4 linked regions of the Rhinolophus ferrumequinum genome follow. The protein of the gene in region 1 purifies or fractionates together with the protein of each later gene. This does not show direct contact. Links are inferred from orthologs where the notes say so. Each region holds a gene or a part of one and is shown in the gene's direction. Other genes may lie near its edges.

The links.
Region 2: the proteins of NCBP3 (region 1) and THOC1 purify together in Homo sapiens (co-immunoprecipitation; 4 studies listed by BioGRID and IntAct, with this or other methods). This does not show direct contact. The link is inferred for Rhinolophus ferrumequinum from reciprocal best matches to the Homo sapiens genes NCBP3 and THOC1.
Region 3: the proteins of NCBP3 (region 1) and THOC7 purify together in Homo sapiens (co-immunoprecipitation; 3 studies listed by BioGRID and IntAct, with this or other methods). This does not show direct contact. The link is inferred for Rhinolophus ferrumequinum from reciprocal best matches to the Homo sapiens genes NCBP3 and THOC7.
Region 4: the proteins of NCBP3 (region 1) and THOC6 purify together in Homo sapiens (co-immunoprecipitation; 3 studies listed by BioGRID and IntAct, with this or other methods). This does not show direct contact. The link is inferred for Rhinolophus ferrumequinum from reciprocal best matches to the Homo sapiens genes NCBP3 and THOC6.

What each region holds. Positions count from the first base shown.
Region 1 is NC_046304.1:14,691,543-14,699,218, forward strand, and holds the start of NCBP3 (nuclear cap-binding protein subunit 3), read left to right. Parts: upstream 1-4,667; 5' UTR 4,668-4,724; coding exon 4,725-4,907; intron 4,908-6,825; coding exon 6,826-6,891; intron 6,892-7,676. UniProt on the Homo sapiens protein: Associates with NCBP1/CBP80 to form an alternative cap-binding complex (CBC) which plays a key role in mRNA export. NCBP3 serves as adapter protein linking the capped RNAs (m7GpppG-capped RNA) to NCBP1/CBP80.
Region 2 is NC_046302.1:16,794,421-16,801,338, forward strand, and holds the start of THOC1 (THO complex subunit 1), read left to right. Parts: upstream 1-3,915; 5' UTR 3,916-4,078; coding exon 4,079-4,132; intron 4,133-6,205; coding exon 6,206-6,279; intron 6,280-6,373; coding exon 6,374-6,434; intron 6,435-6,918. UniProt on the Homo sapiens protein: Component of the THO subcomplex of the TREX complex which is thought to couple mRNA transcription, processing and nuclear export, and which specifically associates with spliced mRNA and not with unspliced pre-mRNA.
Region 3 is NC_046300.1:57,897,544-57,905,030, reverse strand, and holds the start of THOC7 (THO complex subunit 7 homolog), read left to right. Parts: upstream 1-4,477; 5' UTR 4,478-4,612; coding exon 4,613-4,631; intron 4,632-5,221; exon of another isoform or gene 5,222-5,342; intron 5,343-7,487. UniProt on the Homo sapiens protein: Component of the THO subcomplex of the TREX complex which is thought to couple mRNA transcription, processing and nuclear export, and which specifically associates with spliced mRNA and not with unspliced pre-mRNA.
Region 4 is NW_022680357.1:4,524,581-4,532,557, forward strand, and holds the start of THOC6 (THO complex subunit 6 homolog), read left to right. Parts: upstream 1-4,972; 5' UTR 4,973-5,065; coding exon 5,066-5,104; intron 5,105-6,077; coding exon 6,078-6,193; intron 6,194-6,298; coding exon 6,299-6,363; intron 6,364-6,453; coding exon 6,454-6,557; intron 6,558-6,645; coding exon 6,646-6,683; intron 6,684-6,766; coding exon 6,767-6,815; intron 6,816-6,922; coding exon 6,923-6,994; intron 6,995-7,083; coding exon 7,084-7,186; intron 7,187-7,269; coding exon 7,270-7,319; intron 7,320-7,407; coding exon 7,408-7,470; intron 7,471-7,567; coding exon 7,568-7,678; intron 7,679-7,762; coding exon 7,763-7,897; intron 7,898-7,977. Other genes in the region: TNFRSF12A (tumor necrosis factor receptor superfamily member 12A), read left to right, coding at 1,150-1,243, 1,964-2,068, 2,299-2,433, 2,544-2,599; HCFC1R1 (host cell factor C1 regulator 1), read right to left, coding at 3,630-3,765, 3,998-4,126, 4,213-4,269, 4,568-4,662. UniProt on the Homo sapiens protein: Component of the THO subcomplex of the TREX complex which is thought to couple mRNA transcription, processing and nuclear export, and which specifically associates with spliced mRNA and not with unspliced pre-mRNA.

The sequences.
Region 1 (7,676 bases):
TTCCCACAAGGGATGGTGGGCTGCGCCTCCTGCAACGAGAAAGAGCTAGCGAGGCCAAGGGGGAGGAAAGAAATCTCGAAGCAGCGAGACTAGCTTGTGCAAGGGCCCTGTGGGAGGAGGGACAATTTGCTTTCCAAGAACTGAAGTAGTGATGTTGGGAGTAAGGAGGAGAGTAGTGCCTGCAGCTGGAGAGGAGGAAGGGCTGGATAATGTGCTGAAAAGAGGAGGGATAGGAGTGGAGGAACCAGAAAAACAGAGAAACCAGTGAGGAGGCCACTGCAATGTCCAGACATTGCAGAGGTGATATGTTGGTGGCTGGGATGGAGAGAAGCTGAGGGATGAGAGCTGAAAGGAGGGACAGAAGCAGATGGGCACGAGGGATATGTGGGAGGTCAGACTGACAAGACTGTGTGGCCGTGGCTATGGGGGTGGGAGAGGAAGGTGTGAAGGGTGGCTTCTGGCTTCCACGCTTGTACACCTGGATTCACTACAGTGCTGATCAGGGAGGTAGGGAACACAGGAACGGACCCGGCTTGGAAGGAGGATTCTGACTCTTAGTCAAGTTGAGTTTGAGGTGCCTTGAGACATTCAAGGGAAGATGTCCAATAAGTAGTTGAACATATGGGTCTGGAGCTCAGAGGAGAGGGCAAAACTGGAGATGCAGATATGGAGTCCTCAGGCTGTGGATGGCCGTGGAATAGGAAGCCATGGGTGTGATGAGATGGCCCAGGGAGTGAGCACGGGGTGAGAAGAAAGAGGGCCCAGGATCGAGCCCTGGGAGATTGTTAATGCTGCGGGAAGGAGGAAGAACCCTAAAAGGCACTGGAGCAGGCGTAGCCTGGGAAGTGAAAAGAAAACCAAATGTGATCATACAATAGAAGATTGTGTGTGGTTTCAAGACCTGGGGAGCGGCTATCAGTGTCCATGATGCTGAGTGGTCCAGTCAGGTGGAGAAAGTGAGGGAACACAATCCTTTCAAGAATTTAGCTGTGTTGGGGTTGGGGAGCATACGGGGTCTGACAATTAAGTTTGTGAACTCACTCTAGAAAAAGTGCTGCCTACCTCATTCCTGAATATCACTACGGTCACCTTTGAAGCACTCCCCTTGGGAAGCTGTGCACCGACGCCAGAGCCTAGTCCACCCTTCAAAGCAATTTTGAAACTCTTTTTCTGGAATGGCCATCAGAGCTGTCGTCATATTACCCTTGATGTCCTGAATGTCATCCAAATGTCTTCCTTTCAATATTTCTTCTGGTAAAGAAAGAAGTCATTGAGGCCTGGATCAGGTGGGTAGGGAGAGTGTTCCAATACAGTTATTTGGTGACTGGCTAAAAACTCCCTTACATGCAAGAGCCATGAATTGTTGGGGAAAATTTCAGGTCGTCTAACTTTTTCACACAGCCCGTTCAGCGCCCAAATAGTAATAACCTTGGTTATCTGTTTGTCCAGTTGGTACAAATTCATGATGAATAATCTTTCTGATACCAAAAATAAGTTAGCAACATTGTTGCAACAAGCCCACGAACTTGTCAGACGCGGTAGATACATATATCTTCTGCATCACGGTCAGCTGCCTCAAGACCTTTTCTTTCACTGTAGAAGCTTTTCCTTAATTACCAACCTGCACATATTCCAAGGACGTGAAATGGGGGTGTGGGTTGTGGGTGTCCAATTTAAAACCGCATCAAAGAACAACTCTGAATCAGCAGGGCATCACCTCAGGCCCGTGGACCATGTTACCAGTTCTCAAGTAGCATTTGATAGGAGCTCATATTACCTTTTAATGGCTTTTCCCTTTTTTATCCCAGGAGAGGTAGGATCCCATTATTCATTCCCCTCTTCCCTGGAAGAGAGAAGGAGTGGCCAATTTCAGTCAAAATTTTAAGAAAGAGGAATCTTTCAGAAGACCCTTAATATCCTCTTTGTCCCTTAGCCTCCACCTTCACAAACTTCTCAAAAGAGTTGTCCACACTTCCGCAAATTCCACTTCTAATCTACCGTCCTCTTCATGGACATCGTCTCATCAAGGTCACCGATGGCCAGCAAACCTCTAGACCCAAGCCAAGTTTCACTGTGAACTTATGGCTGCCCTTGATACCTGATCACTTCCTGGGTGAAACTCTTCTTTCAGTCTGTCCCAGTGTCCCACTCTCCTGGTTTCTTCTGTTAATAAAAAATCATCCAGACTTTGGAAATAGGAAAAAAGAACAGGAAAAAGAACTACACTGATATTCTTTCAATGTAGTGCCAGGTGTACCTATTTTGCCCAGGGGTTATTGATTCTCTAGGGATGTGTACCTTTGTGTACCTTCCGATTTACTATCTATTAGGGCATTTTACAGCTCTGTAAGGGTAGAAGTTAATTTATAGAAAATTCATAATGAGCAAACAATTCTTGTCCAATAGCGATGCAAATGTTTTCTATCTGGTAGAAAAGGAAACCCCAAAGGTTACAGTTTTTTTGCCTTGTAGGACATTAAATTGTGTTGTTACATTAATTTCTGTGTTCTTTTGACTGACCAACTCTGTATTCATTCCCAAATTCTTTTTTGAACCAGTGTTAATATCTTTTCGATGTCTTCATCCCCTAATGAATGAATAAAAGCTTTGACATGTGTTCATTTCATATTGGGGAGTCATGTTTTTCAACTTTTCTTTTTTTTTAAGATTTTATTGGGGAAGGGAACAGGACTTTATTGGGGAACAGTGCGTACTTCCAGGATTTTTTCCAAGTCAAGTTGTTGTCTTTTCAATCGTAGTTGTGGAGGGCGCAGTTCAGCTCCAGGTCCAGTTGCCTTTGTTAGTTGCAGGGGGCACAGCCCACCATCCCTTGCAGGAGTCAACGAGTTGAACCGGCGTCCTTGTAGTTGAGAGCCCACTGGCCCAAGCGGGAATCAAATCTTCGGCGTTAGGGGAATGGAGCTCCAACCACCTGAGCCACCGGGACAGCTCTCAACTTGTTCAAGAATTATTTTTGACCACTTCTGTTTCCATGGCCCCACTTCAGCAGGCTGCACCGAGGACAGGAAAGGGGGGCGGGTGGTGAGTCAGGTGACTAAAAAGAGACAAAGACATGAAGGGCTTTCCTGACGGAAGTCTAGGAACCCTGGGGTTAGCCTGATGCCCTGACTTGCTCTGGATTTCTAATTCTCCTGCCAGCTAGAGCTCTGCCACAGGAGCTGGTTCTCCCTGAACGCAGTGCCTGAGTCCTCAAGCCACAAGGCTCCTCCCACCCTGCAGGGTGAGAGGCCTGCCCAGCCTTTTCTGCTTTTCCGGGTGTCCATAGCTGAGAAGGGATTCCTCCTCTCCTCATTCCCCAACCCCTCAGGCCTAGAAAACACGTGTAATGGTGGGGTTTGTCACTGTCGCCCAAAGCTAGCCACCCCAAGCACAAACTTTCTCTGAAATGTTCTTAAAAATTCACACAAATGCATTCCATGCATGCAACCCCATTTTGTAACTAGTGTCCCTTTTGTCAAAACTAGCCCTCTCAAGAGCTCCATCTTTTTTGTCCTGTGATTTAGCCCACATTTAAGAAGAACTGATGCACTGTGTCCCTTCTATTTGATCCTGTATCTACATGTAATTATCTCATTGAACCCTCACACCTCCTTTGGGGGTGAGGAATGTCCCATATTACTGCTGAAGCAGCTGAGATTCTGAAGTGGTAAGTGGCTTGCCCAAGGTCACACATGGTGTAAGGAGCGGAACCAGCCAGTTTTGATGCTGATCATGCTCTCTCTTGGTTTATAATTATTTGTTCCTCCATGATCATAGCTGGCAGGTCCTCAGGGACCCCAGGGTCCCACCCATGCCCTCCTGAGATGGGAAGACAGGCCCAGAAAGGGACCAGAACTAGCTCAAGTTAACACGGGGAGGAAGGTGCAAAATCTGGACTCAAAGCAAAAACTGCCCTCTGGAAGCTTATAGGACACTCCCCCTCTCCCAACCAAGCTCTTGTTGAAATGTCTGCAAGAAACCATGTTCAGAACCTTACAGTGGACTAAGCCCTCTGGAGTCAGGAAATTGAGGGTTAAGCTCTGGCCTTTGGGCAGCTCACTACCCTCTCGGAGTCTCAATTTTTGTGTATGTAAACTGGGTCAATTATTGGGACACCTGAAAAAGACTAACGTTGTTAGTAAGGCAAATACATTGTAAACCTACAGAATACCTAGAGGTGACAGACCAAAGCTCATTCTGGGCTCTGGAGCCAGATTAGATTGTCTAGGCTCAGATCCAGGTTTTTGTCTCTTAAATAGTCTGTCACCTTAAGTAAATTTTTATGCCTCAGTTTCCTTATATGTGAAATGGGGACTAACACTACCTACTACTTCATAGGGTTGTTGTAGGGATTCAAGCGCTTGTAACAGTCACTGGCACGTAATGACCTCTTAGTAAAGTTAGCTTTCATTACAGGCTTACTGCTCTAGGCGTAACTGTTAGTTCTAAGCCCAGAAAATACCGATCTCCTCCAGGCCCTGCCCCCTCCAACAGGCCCGTCCCCATCTCCATTCGGTCCCGCCTCCTCATCTCCAGGTCCCGCTCCAGCCTGCCCGGGTTCCTCCTGCCACCAGGGGGCGGCAGCGCTAAAGGGGGAGGGGCATTCTAACTGAAGCTGGCGACGCTCTAGGTAGCGGCGGCGGCTGCTCTGTAGCCAGTGGCGGCGGCGCTCTAGCCAGCGGGTGTGCGGGGCGGGCTCTCAGTGGTGCGGCCGGCGGGCGGCGATGGCGGCCGTACGGGGCCTGCGAGTGTCGGTGAAGGCGGAGGCCCCAGCGGGGCCGGCCTTGGGGCTCCCATCGCCTGAGGCGGACTCCGGTTTGGAGCGTGGCGAGCCGGAGCCCATGGAGGTGGAGGAGGGCGAACTGGAGATCGTGCCGGTGCGGCGCTCGCTGAAGGAACTGATCCCGGTACGGGCGGGGGACGGTGGGCGAGGAGGAGGAGGTCGCTAAGAGAGCGAGTGCCCCGCGCCGAAGCGGGCCGGAAAGGGAGGCGGCCGGCGCCCGGGCTGGGGGAAAAGTCAGGGGAAGGGGAGCGAGGGGGGCGAGCGCGGGGGGTGGGGGAAGGGGGCTCCAGGCTGGAGGCGAGACCCGGAGCGAGAGAAAGGACGCTGGGGCGCCCGGAAATGGGTGTTGAGGGGGCTGGAGGAGGTGGGGTAGAGCTGGAGGGTACTTAAGGACGTCCCTTTCGCTGCCCCTCTGAGCTAGTCTGTGCAAGGGGGTGATTGAGGAGGGGCTGGGATTGTCTAGGGGCTTGAGATAAAGGGGGAACCCCAGGCGGGAACAGGACCAAAAGTGGCCCAGAAAGAACTGTGGCGCCAGCATCCAGCCCTCCTTGTGGGTCGTGCTCCGGTGGAGCTGGTGTCTGTAAAACCTAGCACTCGCGGGTTTCTCTTGGAAGGGTGGGACTTGTCAGCAGCAGGAACTCAGTGTTTCTGTTGTGGCTTGAGGGCCGTCTTGTCCCCCATGCAGCCCCACTGCTATGTAGCACCTACACCGTGGCCCCAGCATCTGACCCTTAATGAACCCAGAACATCAGCGAACAGCAGTGGTCCTTGGTCTGTTTTTTTAATCACAATGGAGATACTGAGAGGTGTTTTGCTTGTGGTTTGGTGGTCCAGTGTCCGGTTCTTATGGCTGGTCTCAGACCTGCATGGCTCTTCTCAAGTACTTAATTTCTCACCCAACACAAACTACTTTTTACCACGTCAGCAAGACATGCTTTTAAATTGAAATTATGGGGAGAGGTGAAGGTGGGAATCACTAAAGATAGCAAATGATAGTGATTCTGGTAGCAAGGATGAACAAAGTGGCATTTTACCATTAACTACATTGTATCATTTAAATATTACCCAGGTTGTGAAGTCGACATCATCCCTTTATTCGTTCAGTTTAACGTGTGTCTATTGCATCCCTCACTACAGGTGCCTGGCACAATCCTAGGCACTTGATCAAGATCAAACTCCCTCCTGGAGTTTATGTTCCAGTTGGAGGACACAAGTAACAATTTCTGATAGTGGTAAATGCTATGAAGAGAATAAAACATGTTAATGGGAACAAAAGTGCAGAGGGCGGGGGGCGGGGTGCAAAATGGGCAGCAGAATGGGATAGGATGATCAGGGAAGTCGTCGGAGATAGTGACATTTAAGCCAAACCCTAAACGACAAAAAGGAGCCAACCATGTGCAGACTTGGAAGAGAGTGTTCCCAGCAAGGGCAACAGTAAGTGCAGAGACTGAGATGGGAACAAGATTGTTTTGTTGGAGAAATGGAAAGTTCTGCAGCATAAGTGAAAGAGGTCAGGAAGGCCTAGATACGAGGGTGGATACCTAGGCCCAGAGAGGCCAAAGGAAATTGCACAGTGTTGTGTAATCTGTGAACTGCGACTTGAGTCCTGAGCTTCCAAATCCCACCCTCTTCACTGCACTGTGCTGTTTTCCCTTGGAGGTCTGGGTGAGTCGGGGCTTTCTGCATTTTGGTGAGGGCTTGTGCTCCACCTGGTGGCCTGGCCTGGTGCCTTTGATCTGTCTGGGTTGGAGGGAGAAGTGGACGTTTTTCACGAAAGCCTTTAGATTTTCACTTACACAGGTACTTTCAATAGATGGAATTACTTCAGGTGTTGCACAGGCTCTGATCTAGAAAAGACTTCTCATTAAGGTGGTTGATGGCTACCAGGGAGTCCCTGGGATGTTGTTTCCTCATAATAAGGGTTGTGAGGGTAGGGGAAGGATTGCTGAAGCGAATGACTATTCAAAAGGCATCAGCTGTCTTTTATTATGAGATTTTCCTCAATAGCTGTAAGCATTTCATACATTTCCCCCTCGTGTTAGGACACAAGCAGAAGATATGAAAATAAGGCTGGCAGCTTCATCACCGGAATCGATGTCACCTCCAAGGTAAGACAGACCAGGATTTATTTATTCATTTTGAGAAGCGGGTGAACTTCGTCCCTAGGACTTGTGGAACTGCAGTTATTCTTTACCTCCTATTTTGTTTTGCTGCAGAATTAAACATTTTTAACTTAAATTTCATATTATACAATGATGCCTTTGTGCATTCTGGAAACATCTGGGCAATATTTTGTTCTCATATTCACGACAAGATGAAAATCACAATACCAGGGTGACTGCGTAACCACATCCAAGAGAAAGTTCTGCACTGGGAATGCTTTTTTTATGCTATGTCCCTTCTTTAAAAGTGCATATACTGTTTCCACTTTAAATGAAACAAAACATGAATAATAGCATTATATTGCTATATTGGCTGTATAAAAGCAAAAATAAAAATAAATATGTCATGCCTATGTTTTATCTGGGTCTCAGTCTGTCAGATGGCTTAAAGGCCAAAAGAAAAAACTGACCTTTTAGACAAGAAAATAAAGTGAAGATGTTTTCCTGTTGTAATTGAAAAAGAAGTGGACTGCACTGTTCTTAATCCTACAGTTTGCCATTATGTGAAACAGATATATGGGGGAAAGGGTAGTAATCCCAGAACTGATACTTAAATTATGGCTAAAGGAAGGTAGATTGTTTGCACTGGCAAGATGTAAGTGAAGAAAATTAGCATAACTATTGGGAAGTAACAGAAGTGTTGCTGCTTTACCAATCCCCACAAGCTTTCTATAGTCAGACCTTCAATTAGTGTGGCAAAGTTAATACACAGTGAAGGGTTCCTAAGAGCT
Region 2 (6,918 bases), on another chromosome or scaffold:
TTATGCTCATCTGTGTGGTCCAACCAAGCTCACCAAACAAGATTTTACCAGGTATACTAGATAATTATATACACAGTACTTAACGATTTAATAAAATAATCATACTGCATATATAATCCAATATTGTACTTGTGACTGGCAGATAACAGGCACTCAATAAATATGTGATGAATGAATAATACACTAATACAAAATGCTTGAAAGTTGCCACCACTGTGGCAAAAATACAGCACCCCTAGTTTTTATGGGTGCTGTAATTCCTCTTTTTCCACAACAATATTCACAAAGTGCCATCCCTCTTCTACTATTCTTCTTCCCAATTCCATTCCTTTCCCAACAATGATGTCTCATTCTTTTTGCTCATCTTTGCCACTGAAACATCCATTCCCTGTCAATATTATTCTTTCAATCCACTCAAATTACAGAGAGAAAGAAAGGGAAAGATGGCTAAGGCCCAGAACCGGAACCAGCAGAAACTGCAATCTAACATCCTAATGTGGTTGACTAGTGAGCGTGGAGCCAAAAGTTTCCTTTTGCCAGGACTAGAGGATAAAGACTAGAACAAAAGCAGACTAAGCTGCCCCCTTGGTCCTTTTCTCCTAGATCTAACCACTTCAATGGTAACTTGAATCCAACTAAGATCACACCAAGGAAAAGAAGAGGAATAAAGAGCTGAATACTTAGAAATTATCTAAATCACCCAGCCTAGAATTTCCCATGGAGAGTATTTCCTAACAGAGAGGCAGGTCCATCTTACCTCACTAGCATAAGAGGAAAAACAAGTGCACAATAAATCTAAGTGAAAAGGTAACATGTTACGGGATGTCACCTTTTGAGTGTTATTATTACATTCTTTTAAAAAACTCATAATGTGTTATTGATGACAGTATGATCCTCACTCTTAGCCAACAGCAAGGCAATAATTTTTGAAACAATAACTAACCCCATGGGTTAGTAAAGAATCAAGAGTTAAGACCTGAGAAAAATACAGGCTTTGGGATTAAAGCCAGGCTCAAATCTCAAACAAGCTTCTAGTCATGTGACAGATGAGCCTGTTTCCTCACTGATAAATAACTATGTATAATGTTGTTCTAAGGAGTAGAAGTAATACAAGAAAAGCGTCTGGCTCATAGAAGGTGCTCAATAAAACGTAAGCATTACTTACAACAGTATAACAGTGTAAAGAGTACAATATTTGGAATCGAAATCCCGGGTAGTCTCATTTTGCCAATTACTTTTATCAAGAACCCCATCTCTTTGAGTTTGCTTCCTTATGTGTAAAATGGCATAACAGTTGTATTACCCACCTTCAAATATCACTTAGAGGAGCAAATGAGGTACTAAATGTTAAGTGCTTTGGGGATTATAAAGTATTAATTAAAGTGATCTACATGTTAAAATGTTTTTACTGTAGTGATTTTTGATGGATAAATTTAGTATTTTACCCATTTTTAACTATCTTTAAGTGTACAATTCAGTGGTACTAAGTACATTCACGTTGTTTTGCAACCATCAACACTATCCATCTCCAGCACTTTTTCATCATCCCAATCTGAAATCTGTACCCATTAAACAGTAACACCTCATTATTCTCTGAAGATTGTTACTTTTTTTCCTACTGTTTCTTTATCTGGTGTTTCAGCACTCAGCAGCAAAGCAGTTCATTTCTCTCCTTCCTCCCAAATATACTGCCAGCTATAACTTGGCAGGAAGTGTAAAAGCCATTTTTAAACATTCTTTGGCCTCAAACATTAATACAATCTGGTTCCAACTTGACTGTTCAGCCTTATTTCTGTTCAGAATCCAATGTTACAGTAAAACAGTTATCTTTCACTATGCTTTCTCCCTTCCACACTTCTGCTAATACCAGTCTCTCCATTGGGAATATCTTTCCTTTTCATCCCTTCCCATTCCTGTCTATTGGAATCCTTCTGGGTCCAGCTCATATTCTATCTTCTCCTTGAGGGCTCTATGATCACCTCATATGGTAGCAATTGCTTTCTCCTTTAATCTCTTACAGCAGTTATAATCGAAAGTATTTATAATAGAAATTGTATGTACACTGTAATTGTTTGTTTCTTTTATGTCAACCAAACTAAAAGTTTCTCAAAATAGGAATTAGGCTTCACTATTTTGTTCATTTGTTCATATATCATTCTTTCAACAGATACTGTGTATTGTGTATAATGTACTCAACAAATGTTTGCTGACTTTTTTGCTGAATAAAGAGAATTCTAAGTCACTGGGCTTTGATGGATGAGTCCAGCTCTTCTTATGATTGGTGTTTTGTAAAAAATAACTGCATTTCTTTCTTGGTTCTTAGTTGTGTTCTTGATAGTTAATAATCTTCTGTAATATAATAATCCTATTAATCAGCTACCTGTTAAATCAGTTAATACCAGTTTAATTTGCCAATTTTGAGACTTGTTATACCATCAAACCTGAATGATTCTGTTGATTCTAAAAAAAGACAACAGTGCTCCAGCCATCACTGTTCACAATTCCCACTTACAGGCAACACTATGCAAAGTTATCTTTTTGTTGGCTTCCTACATTCTCTTTGAATGTCAATGAAGGGAACAAGGTAAAGCACACCTAGCTTTCATCATTAGGTTACACGTGGAAACGAAGAAGAGTTGGCAGGAAGTTTGTGTTTGGGTCAATGCATAACTTCCTTCCCCACAGCATCATTCCAACTAAGAAAGTTACTTCTACTTGGCTTTTCATCGGCCAAGCCTCTCCAGTGAAAGGAGACAAGGGAGGAAACTGCCGAGGACGCAGGATTTTGCCAGGGGTGCCTCTACCCTGGAGGCAGTGCCACCCATTTTACTATCAGCGCCAAACACTGCATTCCTCCAAGGTCTTTCTCCTTCTGTAGAGACCTATATATGGCCACCAAGTTAACAATTCCAAGATATAACAATAAGTCTTATATGGCTACGTATGCCACACTTGCATTTATTTCATTCACGCTTTCCAACAGCACTGTGACAGATATACCATATTTTGCCGTGTATAATGTGCACTTTTCCCCAAAAATTTGTGAGGTAAAAATAAGGACGTGCAATATACATGGGTAGTACTAATTCCGTATCTATATGTTTTTAATTCATTTATGCTTATGAGTTGGAAGTGTTGTAACTCTAGAAATCAATAACGATATCCATATGCAAAATAATACCCTGGAATACGATAATCAGTTTTGTTGAACTTAAGATGAACTTGCAACGACCAAGAGTTCTTGGCCTTCTGTGATACATAAATATGGTAAATTTGTTACCGGTACATAAAATTTCTCGTACCTTGTATCTGTTCTTATTTTTTGTAATTATTTGTTACATAAAATTTCTTATACCATAATGTTAAAAATATAAATGCTAAAATTCCTTTATAATACAAAAAACAAGTACCTAAATGTGAACAAATAACAATTTGAATTAAAAAATGTAAACGAAAGATTTTTTTTCCCTGAAAGTTTGGGCCAAAAACGTGGGTGCACATTATACACAGGAGCACACGGCAAAATACGAAAGTACTGATTCTATTTCACAGAAGGGTGAACTACTGCTGCTACAAGGCCTATGAACTACAGAGCTGATACAGAAATCGGGAGCTGAGACTACTCCTTCCTGGAGCATGACCGCGGTCCGCGACCCACCGCCACTGCCAACACTTCCCCAGCCTGGTGCTTTCCTAGATAACCTCCTTGTCCTGGATTCTCGGGCAGCGGTTACCTTCCCGCATCGCCCGTTAAGCTACCTAGGGCTTCCCCAAACCCGGAAAACCACGGCGGTGCGCGTCAGGACCTATTTCCCGCCCTGCAGCGCAGAGCTCACAGGGCGCGGCCCCGCCCTTATGCCGTCACCCCAAAGGTTACCCACGAACCGGGACAGGGCATTGTGTGGTTGACTCTGGCTTCCAACGCCCACCTGACCTCCACAGAAGCTCCTAATTGCCAGCCGCCCCTCCCCTTTGCTCACACGCCGCTCCAGCAGCGTACGCAGCCGGTAATCTCTTTGCTCCCGGCTTGACGTCATCGGCCTGCGCCGCAGCGCGGTGGCGGGCACGCGCAGCCAAGATGTCTCCGACACCGCCACTCTTCAGTTTACCCGAAGCGCGGACGCGGTTTACGGTGAGCAGAAAGCGGGAGGGTGCAAGCCTGACCCGGCGCTTCTCTTTGCCCTCCTCTCTAATTACTGGACTTTTGCTCTGAGGTAAAGCGGAGACAGAGGTGCGTAAGCCGCAGCGTTGGCTCCCGGCCGCTTCGGGGGTTGGGAGGTGGAAAAGACGCTGTACCTGCCTCATCCGCGCATCCTCTGCGGTCCGCCTCCTCCATTCCGCGTTCTGGTCGCCGGCATGAAGGGCTCATCTTCAGACTCTCTCTCGTCCGGTCCAGCTCCTCTGCAGCGCTCGCTTAGCCGGGCAGGTGTCTCCAGAACTGGAAGCGAGCTGGGGAAAGAGGAGGGCGGGAGTGGTTTTAGCCCAGAGGACTGGCTCCCGCCCCGCCTCCTAGTTGCCAGGTGGTTTGTTCCGGCTGCCTATTCACCGTACCTGTAACCCTCAGTGTCTCACTCCTAAGAGATCCTAAGTGGGAAAAGACAAACAGAGCAGTTTGAAAAGGGTTGTCAGATGTCATTTATTCCTACATATTGGAGAAGAGTAGCTTTAGCATTTGAGAAACACCTTACAGAGCGTTTTCATGTTTAAGTCTTAGCATTGTGAAGTAGGCTAGGTTTTATTATCCCCTCGTAGATGAGAAAGAAATGAGACACACGCCCCTGAAAAGTTAAGTGATTTACTAAACTGTTTTTTTTCTGACTTCAAAGCCAGTATTCTTTTTTTGTTACCCATACAGCACCCAGCACAAAGAACCCCTGTTCTAAGTTATTTGACTGTTATTTGTCTTTAGCATTTGTGCCAATGTTTCAAGTCATCATTCAGCTACTCACATATTTAACTGCCTACATAGTTATAGTGATGCCAGAATGAAAATTCTGTGAAAGAAAATTGATTCTTTGTAGTAAGTAGTTTTTTGTGTGCAGGTTATTTTTTTCCTCATAGAATATTGAGTTTGTTTTTCTAATACCAGATTATATCTAGTTTATGTTATCAGAATGATTTTCTTTCTGGGCATTTTGCTGTAATACTGGTGCTTTGAAATTCTAAGAGTAATTGTTAGGACAATCCAAGATCACATTAATCCTGGAAAGGGCCATTTAATTGGAGATCATCTAGTCTGCTGCTTCTCCAGCTTCAGTGTGTGGTGGATCACCTGGAGATCTTGTTGAATGTAAATTCTGATTCAGTAGGCTTGGAATGGGATGTGAGATTTTGCGTTTCTGTCAAGTTCCCAGGTAATTCCACTGCTGCTACTGGTAGTAAGGATCTACAACAACCCTTTATTTAACTGGTGAGGAAAATGAAGCATTAAGGGGTTTGCCCAGATTGACACAGCCTATTTTTGGCAGAGTCAGGAATGGACATTTCCATCTAACTCCTGTGAGGTAATAAGATGACTGTTCGAATCATATGTGAATTTTCACAGAATGAATTGACTTTTCAGTATTTTTGTCTTTCAATTATGACTAAGACAATCGGCAGGTATTTGTTCAGTTTACTATGTGTGAGGGACTATGCTGAACAAGCTAAGCTATCTCACTCAAGGAAGTCTGACTTGAGATGAGTCCTGAAGAATGGATAAAATTTGCATAAGCAGGTGGGAAGAACAACATGAATGTGTAAATACACTAGAGTGTACTTGATAGAAAAATAGGGAAAAAATGGCTTGACCTTAGTGGAGAGTATGTGTTAGAGGGTAGTGGGTAATAAGGTTGGATAGATTGAGTGGGATAACCTTCTCAAGGACCTTGAGAAGGAGCTATCAGACTTCAAAACCAACGTCTGTAAATGAGGAGCCATTTGGAGACTTTTTTTTAAAAGCAGAATACTCTCATGACTATGATATTTAAAGAGATGGTAGGAGGGAAAAATTGGAATGAGAAAGTCTAGCTAGGAAATTCTTTCCAGGTTTAACATGATGAGAGTCTATATGTCAGTAAGTGGCATTTGAATAAAAACTACCGATAGAATGACTGATGGATAATTTTTCCCGGTTATAAACATTTTTAGATTTAATGAGTTATATGTTTTTCAGTAATTAATAAGCAAAAATCTTTCCACTTACTTGCTATATTTATTTTTCTAGAAGTCTACCAGAGAGGCCTTGAACAACAAAAATATCAAACCATTGTTGAATACCTTCACCCAGTTACCTGGCAGGTAAGGCATTAGTATCCATGAAACATGCTTGCCTGAATCTTTATACTTACCCTGAGCTGTTTAAAAAATGGAGCTTGTCTTTTGTTTTCAATAGTGAAAATGAAAAAAAATGTACCCTTGACCAAGCTTTCAGAGGTGTTCTAGAAGAAGAAATTGTAAGTATGTTTTCCTTTATTGTTAAAATGTTGCTGGCAAATTAATAAATTCTGTTATTTTTTTAAATTGCTTTTATTCTTAGAATGAGTGTTTAAATATGATTTTCTAGCATGAGCTTGCTACTTTGCGAAAGCTGACTATATCATAGTATAGAAGTTATGTAATAATTAAGGATTTTGACAGCACGGATGCTAAATCATTAGAAGACTTTGTTTTACTAGATGAAGAGAACCCTCTCCAAGTGAAGAGTATAAGAACTCATACCTTTTCCAAGTTGATGTGAGGTGTTCCTGGGCAAGAACTAGAATTTGAAAATGGGCCCTCTCGCTTTATTATATAGACAGTGACACATTCTGTAGTTGCACAAAAGATCTAGTCCAGGGACATTCAACATGGAAACTAGGATTCCATGCTATCATTTTTTACAGTATGCATCCTTCTCATCAGCATTTAAAAAAAATAAATAGAGCCTATCCAACTTCA
Region 3 (7,487 bases), on another chromosome or scaffold:
AGCCTAATGGAGAATGCCACACAGTTGTTAAGAACACTGGACAGGTCTGATAGGTCCTACAGATGTGGGGTACCTGCCCAAGGTAACCAGAAAGATGTGAAAGGCTGTTCTGAAAGTAGGATGGTCCCAGACGTTTATAGAGGAATGAGTGTAATTAAAGGTTTTCTCTATGAAAGAATGCATTAGCGATTTCCTTTTAAAGATGAGAATGAAACCATCCTCAAATTGGCTACCGCTTTCAATCATTTCCTAGGAACCTAGAACTGAGCATAGCCTTTTGTTTTTATTATCTCATTTAATGGTCATCTCTTCCAGACTCAGAGGCTCACCCACTCAAGTAGAACACAACCAGAAAGCTCAGGAAATGGAAGTCAAACTCAGGTTGTCTCTACTCAGGAGCTTAAAGCTTATGTTCATAACCGCTATCCACTTGAAAGCAGAAAGTATGAATGCTCACCATGAGTAAATGAGAGGAAACAGGAAAGACCACAGAAACAGTGGCAGCAAGCGTATTTTTATGGCCACGAGCCTTATAAGTATTTTATTCATATATCTCTTCTTTCACTCATAATACCCTCTCTTCCTTCAATGTTTAAAGAAAGGAAAATACAATTCAGTTCTTCCATACTCTTTCCTGTTGAGAAAAATGGATGCAGGTACCCACTTGTGGAGGTCTTAAAGATATCAGAATTAGACAGCCAAAGTCCTAGGTTTAACTTTCACTAATGAAATCCCTGGGGTACCTGTGAGGGTCCCTTAAAGCAGGGGGTGTGCAAACATTTTTAGAGGTGAAGGACTGGAAAGCAGACGTGCAGTTTTTCACTTAGATTTTTCATTGAAATCACAAGTGAAGAGCAGCAGTTAAATGGAATCTGACCCAGAGACAGGCGATGCTGCTGCGTGCCTATTGCTTCTTTCTGCCCAGCACTCAGGGCCTTCGCGCGGCCACCAGCACCACCATTCTCCTTCAACTTTTCCCCAAACGTCTACAATATAAGAACCAGTAAGTCTGAACTCATTTTTAAAAACTTGACTTTTTTTCCCAAAAGTTTCAATATTTTCATCATACTTATTTGAAAATAACGTACATCGGTATCATGTACCATGTTTGTTTATACATGTTCACGCAGATGTTTATTAATGGTTACCCACAACTAGCTTCCAAGTCCTTCCTGGGCACAAATAAGGGGCTCTGAGTTTTACACCAGGAACTTCACGCCAGCTTCCTAACACCTCCACTAAGTCAGTCTTCTCCAGATGAGGAACTTGAGGGTCAGGCAAGTTAAGTAGCTACAGTAAATGAAAGAACCCAGAATTGAACGTAAGCCTGTTTCGAGTCAGAAATTGTGTTTTTCCCATCACACCCTGCTGTCTTACCAAAGCACAAACCCATTTCTTAGAGTGACTACCTCCCAGTCAGATTTCAGATTCGCTGGAGAGTAATAAGAGAGTGGAACTGAATGAACCATTTGTTCCGAGGACTGGTTGTCAGGCTCAAGTCTCTGTTATGGACCACAAATCTATCTGTTCTAAAATTTTAAATATAATTTAAAAACAGCCACAATGCACTCAAGATAGCATGTCAAGCCCTTTATGTGCGTGCATGGTTTATCAACTCACAGGCGACGCTTTGCTGTGGGAACAAAATGGAAGTCTTTTTGCACCTCTAAGACCACATGACTAGGCTGAAGGAAACTTTAAAAGGCAAGTATTGAACACCAAGATCTACTTTTTCCTACTTGTTTCTCTTAAAAATTATTCGAACTCCCATTTAATAAAAACATCTTTCTCTAACTTTTTTGGGCCCTGGACCTATTTTAAAACCATAGGCTCTCTCCCCAGAAAATCACATATACAAAAAGTTTCGGTCACAACTGTAAGGGGGTCAGGAATCCTTTGAAGCCTATTCGTGGACACCTGCCCCACCCCCACCCCCACCCCCACCCCTGCTCAGAGGTTCACAGACCCCTGGAAGACCCTTGCTCTAAAAGGATATTATAGAAATGCCTACATCATTTCATAAGACCAAGGTAAAGATCATATAGCTAGTTATCTTATCATCCTTTATAGTTTCATAAAGTTAAAATTAAATAAACACTGAAACAAACTTCCTTAACTAGACTCTCATAGTCTCAAAGAAACCAGGAATCTCATGACTTGAGTAAATCACCAAATCTACGGTCATTTAAGTTCAAAGTCCAAATCAGTTTGTTATAGCTTAGAATCTGCTACTTCTTGCCGAGATTTTCCTAGAAAAGAAACATCAGTATGGCCTAGAACTTGAGCTCTATTTTAACGTTCATTAACATGTTAATATATAATCGATCACATGAGAAAGAGACAATGTCTAAAATTTACTAAAATATATTCTTTCACTATATATGATATGAAGGAAAGTCCATTAACACAATTTTTAAATGTTCAGCACACAGATCTGTGTCAATGCAACTGCAAGGTAAATTACGTGGCTGACAAAGCAGATTTTTAAAAGTTCATAAAGGCTCAAATTTTGATGTGTTTCCCACCACCTGACTCAAAAACTTCCAGGAATGTTTATTTTCAGGTATATCTCCAACTTCAAAGCCTTTCCCATCTCTCTTGATCTTCTTCAGAACATTTCTAGCACTGTCCAATAAAGTTGTAAGTTACAAAACGAACTTACAAAATAAAGGATAGGATGTCTCATGAAAATTTAACAGTTACAGAGGACAGGGATACTTATCTATAAACAACATTAAAGATTATTTTAAATCACTAGATACTGTTTCAAAATCTGTATTATGATAATGAGACTAAGTAACAAGTAACTTAAAAAGAACATCGTTTCACCCAGACAATTACCTTTTAAACAATAATGATCCCTGCTAAAATGCCTTTGGGATAGACAATCAATTGACACATTCAATTTACAATGTATAGTACTTAAGACTTAAAGTAATTCTTCTTTTGGTTAGAGTATCTTCTCTCCTAAAACCAAGAAAATGAACAGGGACTGATGCAAATAGGCAGCCAGTGTTTAGGACAATATTATTTCAAAGCCCAAGAGGTTTCAGGCCCTGGGGGAGGGAAAGTTACACCTAAGAATCTTCACTCAACCTAACTTTATTTATTTATTTACCTCTGTGCCAAAAGTCAAAGGTGCTGATTCTTCAGAACACTGTTGAAGAGCATAATTGAAGTTCTGACTTCATATATGAATAGTATTTTACATACACTGGATTCCTAGCTAGAGGTGAAATGAAACACACTTCACTGTTGTTACACATTTGCATTTACAACTCTTCCTCTTTGAAAGAACTGAGAGAAATGAACCCAACTTTAGTAAGGAAACTGAAACCACCAGATCCACGCCACTAAGTGCTACCTCCGGGAGATGAAGAGGCCGGTTACTTGCGGGATAGGAAAATTGGAAAATAACTCTATGATCAATAAAATATCAAACCTGGGTTCAACACTCAGACACGCTGCTGGTGCCCTAACTGAATCTATCCCACTGGAGAGCAAATCAGCAGCTGGGTCGGTGCTCGCCTCTTCTCACTTTTCACGACCTAAAGGTTGCCATTTGTGAGAAACTCATCGAAGTTGAATCAAAGTGACTTTTGGGAAGAGATGCCAATATAATCTGCAGTGTGCTCCGGAAATGTGTAACTTTACATACAAGGCAACGTTTCTCATTAAACACCCCCTCCCCCTTCACTTTCAACTTCCCCTTAAGATGGGGACAGTCACATAGACATTTTCCGAAAGTCAAAGAGAAAAATAAACACAAGCGCCCCATCCCTGCCCAGCGACGGGATTCGGGCGCCGGGGGAGGGCGGCGGGCACACCGCTCTGCGTCGCTCCGCGAACTGCTCCCGGAGGTCGCCAAGTTTCTCTTTCCCCCCTTCCCAGCACCCGCCAGTACCCAGGAGCGAAAGGGGCGGCCGCCCCGGCCGGCAGCACGCGACCTGGATCCCGGGGCCTTTTTTGATCACCGGCCGCGCCCGGCGCAAGTGCCCGCGTTGGAGACCCGCCGGGGCGCGCGTGGGCGCCAACTTCGCGCCGACCCTCGCGCCGCGCCCCATCGGTGCCCTTAGTCCCACGTCCCCCGGGCTCGGCAGGGGCCGGGCACCCACGCCGCCCTCCCCACCCCCGGGGGGCGAGCCCACCCGCAGCAGCAGCAGTCGGGACGGGGCGGCGGGGGCCGCGGTCCGTTCCCCGGAGGGGGCCGGGACCCCGACCCCGGGCGGCCCGCGGCCCCCGCCGCACTGGCGGCGCCCGGGCGAGCTCACCTGGCGGCTGGCGGCGGCCTCCGGGGCGGCCTCTGGGCGTGGGCCGGGCGGGGGCGGCAGGGGGGGCGGCGGGGGCCGGGGCTGCAGCCGGGCCGCCGCCGCCTGCCTGGCCTGGCTCCCACACGCGCGGGCCGCGGCCGCCCCCGGGGAGTGCGGGGAGCGCGGGGAGCGCGGGTCCGGCGGCGGCGGCGGCGCGGCGCGGCTCAGGCGTCGGAGCGGGCGGCCGCAGGCGCCGCCGCCTCCTCCTCCATGGCTGTTTACCCGGCTGCATTGTGGGAATTTGACCTCCGCCGCCGCCAACCGCCGCCTCAGCCTGCGCCGCCGCCGCCGCCGCGCACGCCATGGGAGCCGTGACTGACGGTGAGGCCGCTCGCCGCCGCCCGGCCCGCTCCCCGGACTCCCTCGGCCTCCCCCGGGACCCCCAGGCTCCACGGCCGCTTCCGGGAGTCCCCGGGCCTCGGCGATCAGACCCCTCCCCGGAGGCCGGGGCTTTCCCGGCCGCTTCCCCCGAGCCCTCCGGCCTCGCTCCGCAGCCCCTCGGCCCCCTCGGAGCCCCTCTCGCTCCCGGGGCCGCTCGCTCTCCGGAGGCCACGCGGGGCCCGGGGGGTTGTGCTGGGATCGTCGGGAGGCCGGGAGGCACACGTGGGGGCCCGGGAAGGCTGGGAGCGCTGCGTGGGCGGGTGGTACCGGAAGGGGTCCGGGCTGTCGGAGGATGTGGTGGAGGAGCCCTCGGTGGGGGTGGGGGGTCCGGGAGGCCCGCGAAGGGGAGGAAGTGCGGGAGGCCCTGGATCCGGGGGTCCGGAGGGCCCGTGGGGGGCTGGGGGGAGTGCGAGCCCCAGGGATGGGGCGAGGGTTTCGGGCCACGCAGGAAGGAGACACGTTCCGGGACGAGTGTAGCAGGGGCGCCCGCGTATAGCGGGTGACACCTGGAGGAGTCCGGGACCGGTGGGGAAGGGCCCCGGCACGACGGGGTGGATCCCAGTGAGGCCCGGAACTGGCCCCGGCTGGCGGTGGGGAGAGGAGCCGAGGACGGCCCCGAAAAGGAGGTGTGGGCCGGGCGTCTGCCGGACGGTCAGCGTGCACGGGGGTCTGTGGGGTGAGAGCCGGAGGAGGGGTCGGGCCTCCCGGGTGGAGCGAGGCGACGAAAGGAGCGCGTGTGTCTCGGGGAGAGTGCGTCGTCAGCTGGGACCGGGGGCAGGGGCAGGGGCTGGCCTTGTGGGGAGCTGTGAGGGCGGTTTAGGGGGGTGGACCCCCGTGAGGAGGGCCCAGCGGGTGGTCGGTGCCCCGAGAGCAGAAATGAAACAGGGCGATGCCTCGGGGAAGGTGAACAGGCTCCGTGGGCAACTGCGGGGGGAACCTGAGAAGGTTATCAGTTTGGGAGGAAGGAAGTTCTGTGACATCTGGGCGGGGGGGGGGGGGCCAGGTCGCTGGGTCTACTTGAAGAGAGTGACTAGTAAGCGTAGATGCCTGCGGAGAGGCCACTTCTGAAAAACTGGAGGTAGGAGGGACCTCCACGTTAAGGGGCTCGGCACTGGGAAGGAGAGTAAAAGGCCCCGATTTGAGGATGTGGTGAGAGTAGTGAAGTGGGAGGCTCTTAACGGTCCAGCTCCGTCGCTGGAAATTTTAACTTTGCTTTATTCCAGTTTGATTTATTCAGTAGATATTTATCCCCCTGGGCTCGGCTTTGGGATTCCAGCCGAGAACCAACAGGCGAGACCTTTTGCCCCGCTGAGAGTACAGTCTAGTGGGAAAGACACAGTGGATAACTCGTTTTAAGCCTGGCAAACGTTACGGCAGGAGAAGTGTAAGCTTGAGAACTGGGGAAGCTTGTAACAAAGATGGCTAATCATTCTGGGAGATCAGAAAGCGTCCCTGAAAAAGTTAGTCTTAATCCCATTTTTGAAGGATAAATAGACGTAGTTGGACTTGAATGACGTGTGCAAAAGCCCCAAAGTCTAGAAAAAACTCAAAAATGACAAATACTGCCTAGAATTTAGAAAGTTGTGAACCAGAGATTTCTGAGTGCAATGCATTAAAAAAACAACCACACTCTCTACTATGTGAAGAATGATGAGAGGAAGGGAAAAGCGAGGAGTTGTAAGTTCCCACCCCTATTTCTAACATTTATATAGTGTTATCGTATGTCAAACAGTGTTGTGATTTTTATTCCCACTTTACAGATGGAAGTGGAACACATATATGTATTAAGAAACTTGCCCAAGGTTGCACAGGTAGTAAGTTGTAGAGCCCGGGCTCTCAGCTGCTACTGTAATGGTCCTACTGAGAGCTAATGGGGGCACCACTGAAGAAGGAATGCAGAGAAGTGGACAGGTGGGGGAGAGATTTATGGGGGCGAATGTCAGGATCTCAACGATGGAGTGGATGGCAGGGGAAAGATGGAGGGTTATCCCAGGTTTCTGATTTGAGTGACTGTATGCTTGTTAGTCCTACTTCTCTTTATTGAGGTGGAGAACTTCAAAGTAGAGAGGAGTTTTGTCCTCCAGGAGATGGAAAGGGATGATGAATTCTAGTAAAGTGACTGACTACAGTCAAGGGCCCCCCGCATGCTTAGAGGCTACAGGAATCTCCAGAAAGCTCTCTGACCTTGTGCAGATTAATTAACCTCTTGGAGCCTCAGTTTCATTCTTTATATGGGGATGATAATAAAATTGACCCCATGGGGCTTTGAGTATTAAGTGCAATAAAAGTTGTAAAGTGCTTTGCACTGAGTCTGACACATAATGTTCAATAAATACTATTAAATGTAAGAGCTGGTTTACTCACCTCTTTCCACTTTCCTTTGATGAGAAATGTGCCTTCTTCCTCTTTCTCTTTTCAATTACAGTTGACATTCAATATTAGTTTCAGAGGTACAGCATAGTGGTTAGATATTTATATAATTTACGAAATGATCCCCCTGATAAGCCCAGTACCCACTTGGCACTATATGTAGCTATTATAATATTATTGACTATGTTCTCTACGCTGTACTTTACATCCCCCTGACTGTTTTGTAACTACCACTTTGTACTGCCTTATCCCTTCACCTTTCTCATCCAGCCCCCCAACCCCCCTGCCATCTGACAATCATCATTTTGTTCTCTGTGTCTATGAGTCTGTTTCTGTTTTGCTTGATCATTTATTTTGTTGTTTAGATTCCACATATAAGTGAAATCATACAGTGTTTGTCTTTATCTGACTTATTTCACTTAGCAT
Region 4 (7,977 bases), on another chromosome or scaffold:
CAGCCGGGAGGCGCGAGCCCAGGATAGTTTAATGGCGGCGCCCGCCAAGGGTCCGCTCCAGCAGGTGAGGGGGAGGGGCGCCCGCCCCAGAGAGCAGCTCAGGTGGGGGAGGGGAGCCCAGGTTTCGGTGCCTTTGTCCCAGGGGAGGGAAGGAGGAGCATTTAACCCTTCTCGAGTCGCAGGACTCGATCTGCTCGTCGGCTTCCGTGCAGCCCCGCGCCCGAGGGTTGGTCGGCCGGGTGGCGGTAGCCAGATCAGTCCAAGTTCTCCAGCAGGCCACACCCCCAGCACCCCGCTCCTGGAGGCACCCATCTCCTCCCTCACCCCGACACGCACACTGGCCCCAGGCTCACCTGCGAAGGAAGGAGTCCGCGGAGATTCCTAAGAGACGGCGGAGTGCGGGGATGGGGCGGAGGCAGGGTCTTAAAGAGGCAGTGACGTCACTGGACCACCGCCCCGGGGAGGGGCAGAGACCCCATTCCAGACCACCGCGGGAGCGCGAATCCCAACTTTGTCAGTCGGGGGCGCTCGAGATTGGGGCTGCAGGGTCTGCAGCTGGCCCGGGTGCGAGGACATCAGTGGCTGGCGTCGGGGCCCGCGGTAAGTCTAGGCGCAGGGCGTGGAGCTTGGGTCTCCGCTCCGCCACTTACTAGTCCTACTGCTGTGACCTCGGGAATTAACCTAACCTTCCCGAGCCTCAGTTTCATACTCTGCAAAATGGAGACAACAAGCCCGCATTTTACTAGGTAACTATGTCCTAAGGTAGAAATTAAACATCATTGTGTTACGTTTATTATTATACCCCGGGGCTCTTAAGAGAGCGGCAGTTATGTCTGCAATGGGTCAGTGGGTGGTTTCGTGTCTGATCCACCCACCCACACACTCACGCAGACATACACACACCTCCCGGACCTGAGCACCGAGAGGGCAGCCAGGACTGCGTCCTAGAAGATCGCGCACAAGGACGGTGTTTGCAGAGCGAACGATTGAACTTAGCGGGCCAGGCGGGGCGGGACGCCCAGGGGCGGGCCGCTGGGCGGGCCCAGACGAGGGGTCTGCCCCGGAAGGCGGGGGCGGGGGCGGGGCTGGGGCTGTAGGTCTCCGAGGCCAGCGGCGGTAGCAGAAGGCAGCGCCCGCGGGACGCTAACGATGGCTCCTGGCCTCCAGCGCCCGTTGCTGCGGCTCCTGGTGCTGTGGCTCGGGCTGGCGCTGCTGTGCGCTGTGGCGGGGGAGCGGGTGCCAGGTACGCCGGGCGACGAGCAGGGACTGGGCAGGAGGGCGTGGGGGCCGGGGAACCCTCGGCCGGGAATCGGGGAGTCGACTTGGGGGCTTAGCGGAGAGGGCAGAACTAGGGGGACATGGGATCCGGGGTCAGGTCTCCAGACAACGCACTCCCTGGTCAGGGGAGGTCCCATCTCGCTCCGAGCTTCATCCCGTCAGGGCTTCAATTTCCCGCCTGTCCAACTCGGGGAACCTCTCTGTCTTTAAAGTCTGGACTCGGAAGTGGAGAAAGTTTGAGGGCGGGATGTCTCGTCCGGTGAGGGGACATGCCCCCATCCTGGTCAATACCGGGTGTGCCCAGCCCCAGTGACCGAAGAGTCGGGAGGGGGTGTCGAGAGGCACGGGGGTCTGTGCCCCCATCACATGTGGGGTGCCCCCTTCCATCCGGTGACTTCAGTGCCCAGCTATGCGGGGGGAGGGACCGGGGTCGGGCCCGATGCCCAGGAATGAGTCACCCGCCAGCGGCGGGCGGGTTTGTGGGGACCTGACCTCCCGCGCTACGCCCCCCCTTCTCCCCCCACTCCCCGCGCAGCCGTGTCCCGGTCGGGCCGTGCGGTCACCTGTGAGGAATGCGGGAGGAGGGCGCCGGTGACTCACGTTATTCGAGCCTGCCGACCCTGACCTCAGCCCCCAGAATAGTCACGCCCCGCCCCCAGCTTCTGACCCGTGGCCCCCTCCTCAGGCACCACCCCCTGCTCTCGCGGCAGCTCCTGGAGTGCAGACCTCGACAAGTGCATGGACTGCGCGTCGTGCCCGGCGCGACCGCACAGCGACTTCTGCCTGGGCTGTGAGTGGGGGGCGGAGCCAGAGGCGAGAGGACCCCCAGACTGGGGGAGAGAGTTGCTGGGGTAGAGGGGAGTAGGGGACTTCAGATCGGGGGAATTAATGTGGAGGGGGGCGGGAGTGAGGGCCTCCAATCTGGGTAGAGGTCTTGGTAGGGGGGGACTCGTGGCTCAGATCTAGGGAGTGGGGCTGGTTCAGAGAGGAGCGAGGTCTGACTTCGAGTCCTATCCCCAGGCGCTGCGGCCCCTCCAGCCACCTTCCAGCTGTTGTGGCCCATCTTGGGGGGAGCCCTGAGCCTGGCCCTTGTGCTGGGACTCCTTTCCGGCTTCCTGGTCTGGAGACGGTGCCGCAGGAGAGAGAAGTTTACCAGTAAGTGTGCCCTGGCTCTCCTGCCTGCCTGCCCGCGTGCCCCCACCCCCCCACCCCATCAGTCCCCACCGTCCTCCCTGTTCTTGACGACCCCTCTTCTTATCTTGCAGCCCCCATAGAGGAGACCGGCGGGGAGGGCTGTCCCGGTGTGGCTCTGATCCAGTAACAATGAGCATCCCCTGCCAGCAGGAGGCCACGCCCACTCATCATTCATTCATTCATTCTGGAGCCAGACCCTGCCTCCCAGACACAGCCCTGAGCCAGGCTGCTCCAACCACAGGGGTGGGCAGGGATGAGGGACGGGTGAATCACTTCTGAGGCCTGGACCCAGACTTTAGAGGAGCCTTCATTCAAGGTGTCTGACTGCCCTGCCTCTGGCTCCAGGACAGAAAATGAGACCTAGGCTGGCTCACACCAGACAGCTGACACTAAGGAACTGCTACATTTGCACAAGGGTCCCCCCTCCCATGGCCTGGCAGCCAGTCTGACCTGACAGACAGACACAACACCAGGCCCTACCCACTCAGATGAGCTGAAATTCCAGCACTGGGGTCTCAGCCTGGGGGGTTAGGGACCTGTTCCTAACACTAGGGGGCTGGCCCTCTAGGGGGGCTGGCCCTAAGACACTGCCCCCCCAACCCTCAAAGGGGGGGAGATATTTATTTTGGGGAGAAAGGTTGGAGGGGGGAGAATTTATTAATAAAAGAATCTTTAACTTTAAATGGTTCGAAGAGTGGCATGATCCCCAGCCTGACTTCCCAGAGCTGGAGGGAGGAGTGAGTCAGCCGCGGGGGCGGGGGCGAGGCTCTGACTCACACATTCTCAATGTCTGAGCCTCGACTGCCAGGACCTGGCTAGGCCCTGACCGTTTTCCAGGGAAGATCTTGAGGAGAAACCCCACTATCCAGTGCCCCAGCTCTGCCCCCTCTTCCCAAAGGCCCTAGGTTCCAGACTGAAGACTTCCTCTGTTCAGCAATCTTTATTCAGTTCTGGGGGGGGGGGGCATGCCTCCATTCCCATGCTGTTGGCCCTCCCACCCCAGGGTTCTGTTGGGCTCAGTATCCTCTTTTGGGGGAAGGTTCTGGTGCCCAGAGGCCTGGTCTGGAGGAAAAGCAGGGCAGCTGGTCCCTTCATGGGGGTGTTGGTCTCCCCTACTGGAGAGAAGGAGGGTGGGCAGGGGTACTGTCTGCCAGAATTCAGAGCTCCATTACATCCCCAGCTGGGGTTGCAGGATAGTGGGGGGCAGGGGTGTCCCCCAGCCTCAGCATCCGTAGAGCCTCAGGGATCAGGTTTCCAGGGTATCGCCAGAGAAGGAGCTCAGAGCAAGGGCTCCTGGAAAAGGAAATGACAGGGCACAGGGTTGAGGCTGGCCTGGCAGAGCCACCCACCACCAGGTTCAGGTCCCCAGGGGCTACTGGGCTGCAGGCGCCTTCTAAGGAGCCAAGATGAGAACAGAGGTTGGCTAGAAACTAAAAATAGCAGGATGAGGCAGGCCCTGGAGGTTGGCTCTGATAGGGCGTGATTCTCCAGAGGGCCTAGCGGGTAGCTAGTGAATGGTGCCTACCTGAGTGGGGGAAGAGCTGGGGGGAAAACCATAGGGGGGCTGCAGTAAGGGTGGTCATTATGCAGGCTGAGTCGAGAGAAGTGAGTGGCCATGTTCTCCTCAGACAGGAACTGCTTGCGCAGGGGCTCCCTAGGGAGAGACCGGGAGGCAGGCAGGCTGATGGGGACCTGAGGTGACAGGTCTTGTTGGGAGTCCCTCCCTGCCCCTAAACTCACTGCTCCTTCTCCAGGCGCCGTTTGGTGCTCATGGGCACAGCTCCTTGGAGAGGGGGGCTGGGAAGAAAAAAGAACCAGGTGCACCCCACCCTCTTGACCCCAACCCTAAGATCTGCCGGCCTGAGCCTGCAACGTCAGCCAGGAACCCCCACCCAATCCCTCTCAGTTGACACTTAAATCACCCCCACTCTCCCGGGCCATTCAGCAGCTTGCCTCGTTAGTCTCCAAACTCGTCTCAGCTCATGCCCAAACTCTGCTGATTCGCCCCATCGCGTCATCCTGCAGACCAGCCCTGAGCCCCAAGCCAAAGCTCCAGCGCCCCTGGGCCAGGCCCACCCAGGGCCCACACACACACCTCGCGTCCAGGCCTCGAGGCGCCCCCAAGGCGACCCGCGGGTCACGCTGGGCCCGACCTGGGGGGCCTCGCTCCAGAGGCTGCTGAAGGATCATTGGGGTTCGGGGTCCTGCGGGCGGAGGGGTGGGATCCGGACGACAGGCGGAGCCTCCGAGGGCGTGGCCCAACGCGGGAGGCGTGGCTTTAGGCGCGCGCAGCAGCAAGATTCACGCAGGCGCGAAAGACGGACGGCGAGCGGCTGGAAGGCGGGCCCATTCGCCGGGTGGGGGAGGGGATCTGGAGTAGCGGGGCTGCGGTGGGAGCCACTTGGTGTCGGAGATTTTCACGGCGGTCACTGCGGCTCTTGGGACTCTGGTGGTACGCGGCGGCCGCCTTCGCGCCGAGCCGGCTGGCGGTATTGACCGGGTGAAGCTCAGTGACGGTGAGCCGCTTTGGGGCACGTCCGGACTCGTGAGTTTGCGTTGCGTGCGGAGCAGTCTGGGACTTGTAGTTCTGCAGATGGAGCGAGCTCTGCCCCACGCGGTGCCGCTGGGTCAGGTGAGACCGGCGTGTGCGCGGTGCCTTCTGGGGTTTGTGGTCCATGCCCCACAGGGGCCTAACGTGAAAGTCAGAGAGTAGTAATTAGAAGGCAATATGTTTTTCTGTATTGGGGTAATAGAGCCACTGTTTATGCGTTTTGTAGGAGGCATCACTGTGTGAAGCTCTTTATATACAGTAGTTCATCCAGTCATGACAGAATGTCCTGTGAGCTTCATTTGACAGTTGAGGGAACTTTGAGGAGAGGTTGGGTGTGTTATGCAGGGTGTCATGCGGGGTCTCTGGTCCCCCTCCCCTCATAAGAACGCAGGACATGGTGAGGCCAAAAAGGAACACCCACGGAGCCATAGATAGGGGAGTCATACTACCATAGTCTCGCTGGCGAATGGGTTGGAGACACAGGAAACAGGATCCACACGATCTGCAACCTGCTGTCCGCTTCTCTCTCTCTCTCTGCCAACCAACCAACCACAATTGCTGGCTGCAATCTGCCCTACTAACTGCAATTCGCCGTGCCAACTGTAATCTGCGCTTGCTAGCTCAGCCACCATCTTCTTGCTAGCCCACATTTACTGCTAGCATAGCCACGGCAGTTATATTAGTGGCCAATGGCTCACTGGTTACAGCTGACGGCCAACTAGCCATAGCTGATGGCCATCCAGTCACAGTTGATGGCCATTTACTACCCGAGTGAGCACCTTTCCATGTGAGGGCGAGAGCCTGGAAACTGTACTCCTGGCTCTGTCCCCACAGGGTGCTTGCTCAAAGTCCTACTAGGCATCACGCCTCAACTCCCCTCTTCCTTACCTTTTCTTCGAGCCAGCCCCGGGACTGTATGGGCAGGTGCCCACCTTGGTGGACCTCAGAGGAGGGTGGAGAAGTCTGGGCAGTGGCTGAACTGGCGGCACGGAAACTAGGAAGGACTCTGTGAAGCAGAGGTCCCAGACTGCCTTCATCTAGTCTCTCCCCACAGATGGAAGTGTTTCAGGCCCTACAGCGGCTGCACATGACTATTTTCTCCCAGAGTGTCTCACCCTGTGGGAAGTTCCTGGCAGCTGGCAACAATTATGGGCAGATAGCCATCTTCAGGTACCCTCACCTCTGCTCCCCACAACCCATTAGCTCTGGCATTTGGCTCTCCCAGGACTGATGTCCCCTGTTTCTGACTCAGACCCTCTTCCCCTCTCCTTTCAGCTTGTCTGCTGCTTTGAGCTCCGAGGCCAAAGAGGAAAGTAAAAAGCCCGCAGTGACCTTCCAAGGTGGGTGCAGCCATTGAGTCTGGCTTAGAGGACCCCAGGGTAGAGGAGGAGAGCAGGACGGGGTCGCTCAGGTTCTGCATTTCCATTTAGCCCACGATGGGCCGGTCTACTGCATGGTCTCCACTGATCGACATATGTTCAGCGCTGGGGATGGGGAGGTGAAGGCCTGGCTGTGGGCAGAGATCCTCAAGAAGGTAAGAAGTGTCGAGCTGGAGGAGGGGTACTGGGGCATCCAACTCCAAAGAGAACCTCTGAGGTCACTCGTTGTTTTCCTCCATGAAGGGCTGCAAGGAGCTGTGGCATCGTCAGCCCCCATACAGGTGAGCCAGGGCCATGTGGACAGAGGGCACGTGGGGGTGGAGGTGCTGCCTCACCAGAGCTGACCCTGCTTTCCCTCCCCCAGGACCAGCCTGGAAGTACCAGAAATCAATGCTTTGCTTCTCATCCCCAAGGTCTGAACCCTTTGTAACTAAGTCTCTACCCTGCCCTGTTCTTGGCCCAAGCTGTGATCCTTCCCTGTCCCTGTCCTGATTTGACCCCACTCTGTCTTCCTCTGCAGGAGAATGCGCTTATCCTGGCAGGGGGAGACTGCCAGTTGCATATGATGGACCTTGAGACAGGGAGCTTCACGGTAAGAGGGCTGTGGAGCTGGGCAGTCACGGTGGGGTGGGGGAAGGCCTTCTTTCTGGATCTTGTCCTGACACTGTTCCTCTCCTGCAGAGGGCTCTCCGAGGCCACACAGACTATATCCACTGCCTGGCACTGCGGGAGCGGAGCCCCGAGGTGCTGTCAGGTGGCGAGGACGGGGCTGTGCGGCTTTGGGGTAAGGGACTCTGGTTAGAGGGAAAGATGGTGGTGAGGGAGGCTGGGGGAAGTAGGCTGCCTCTCATGGTTCTTCCCCCACAGATCTCCGCTCGGCCAAGGAGGTCCAGACGATCGAGGTCTACAAGCACGAGGTGAGGGCATGTCCCATGCCTGTCCTGCCTTCTCCCTGGGCATCTTCTGCATCTTCACCTCCTCTGCTCTTCCCCTCCTCCCTCTCAGGAGTGCTCGAGGCCCCACAATGGGCGCTGGATTGGATGTTTGGCAACTGACTCAGACTGGATGGTGAGCCAGGCAAAGTGCAGGATGGGGTGGCAGCTGCAGGCCCTACCAGCTGAGGGCCTGTGGCTTAGGAGGCTGGGGACCCCACCTTTCTGCCCAGGTTTGTGGAGGGGGCCCAGCACTCACCCTCTGGCACCTCCGTTCCTCTACACCCACCACCATCTTCCCCATGCGGGCACCACAGAAGCACGTCACCTTCTACCAGGACCTGGTGAGTCTCTGTCTCCATTTTGCCACCCCTGCCTAGCTCCCCTCTCCAGCGCTGACCCCTCAATCCCCTCCCTGCCTTCCACAGATTCTGTCAGCCGGCCAGGGCCCGTGCGTCAACCAGTGGCAGCTGAGTGGGGAGCTTAAGGCGCAGGTGCCTGGCTCCTCCCCAGGGCTGCTCAGCCTTAGCCTCAACCAGCAGCCAGCAGCACCTGAGTGCAAGGTGGGTCCTGCGCGGAGCTGTGGGAGTCCTGGGAGGCCAGGGGTGTGTGGACAGGTCAGTCTCACACACATACACACACA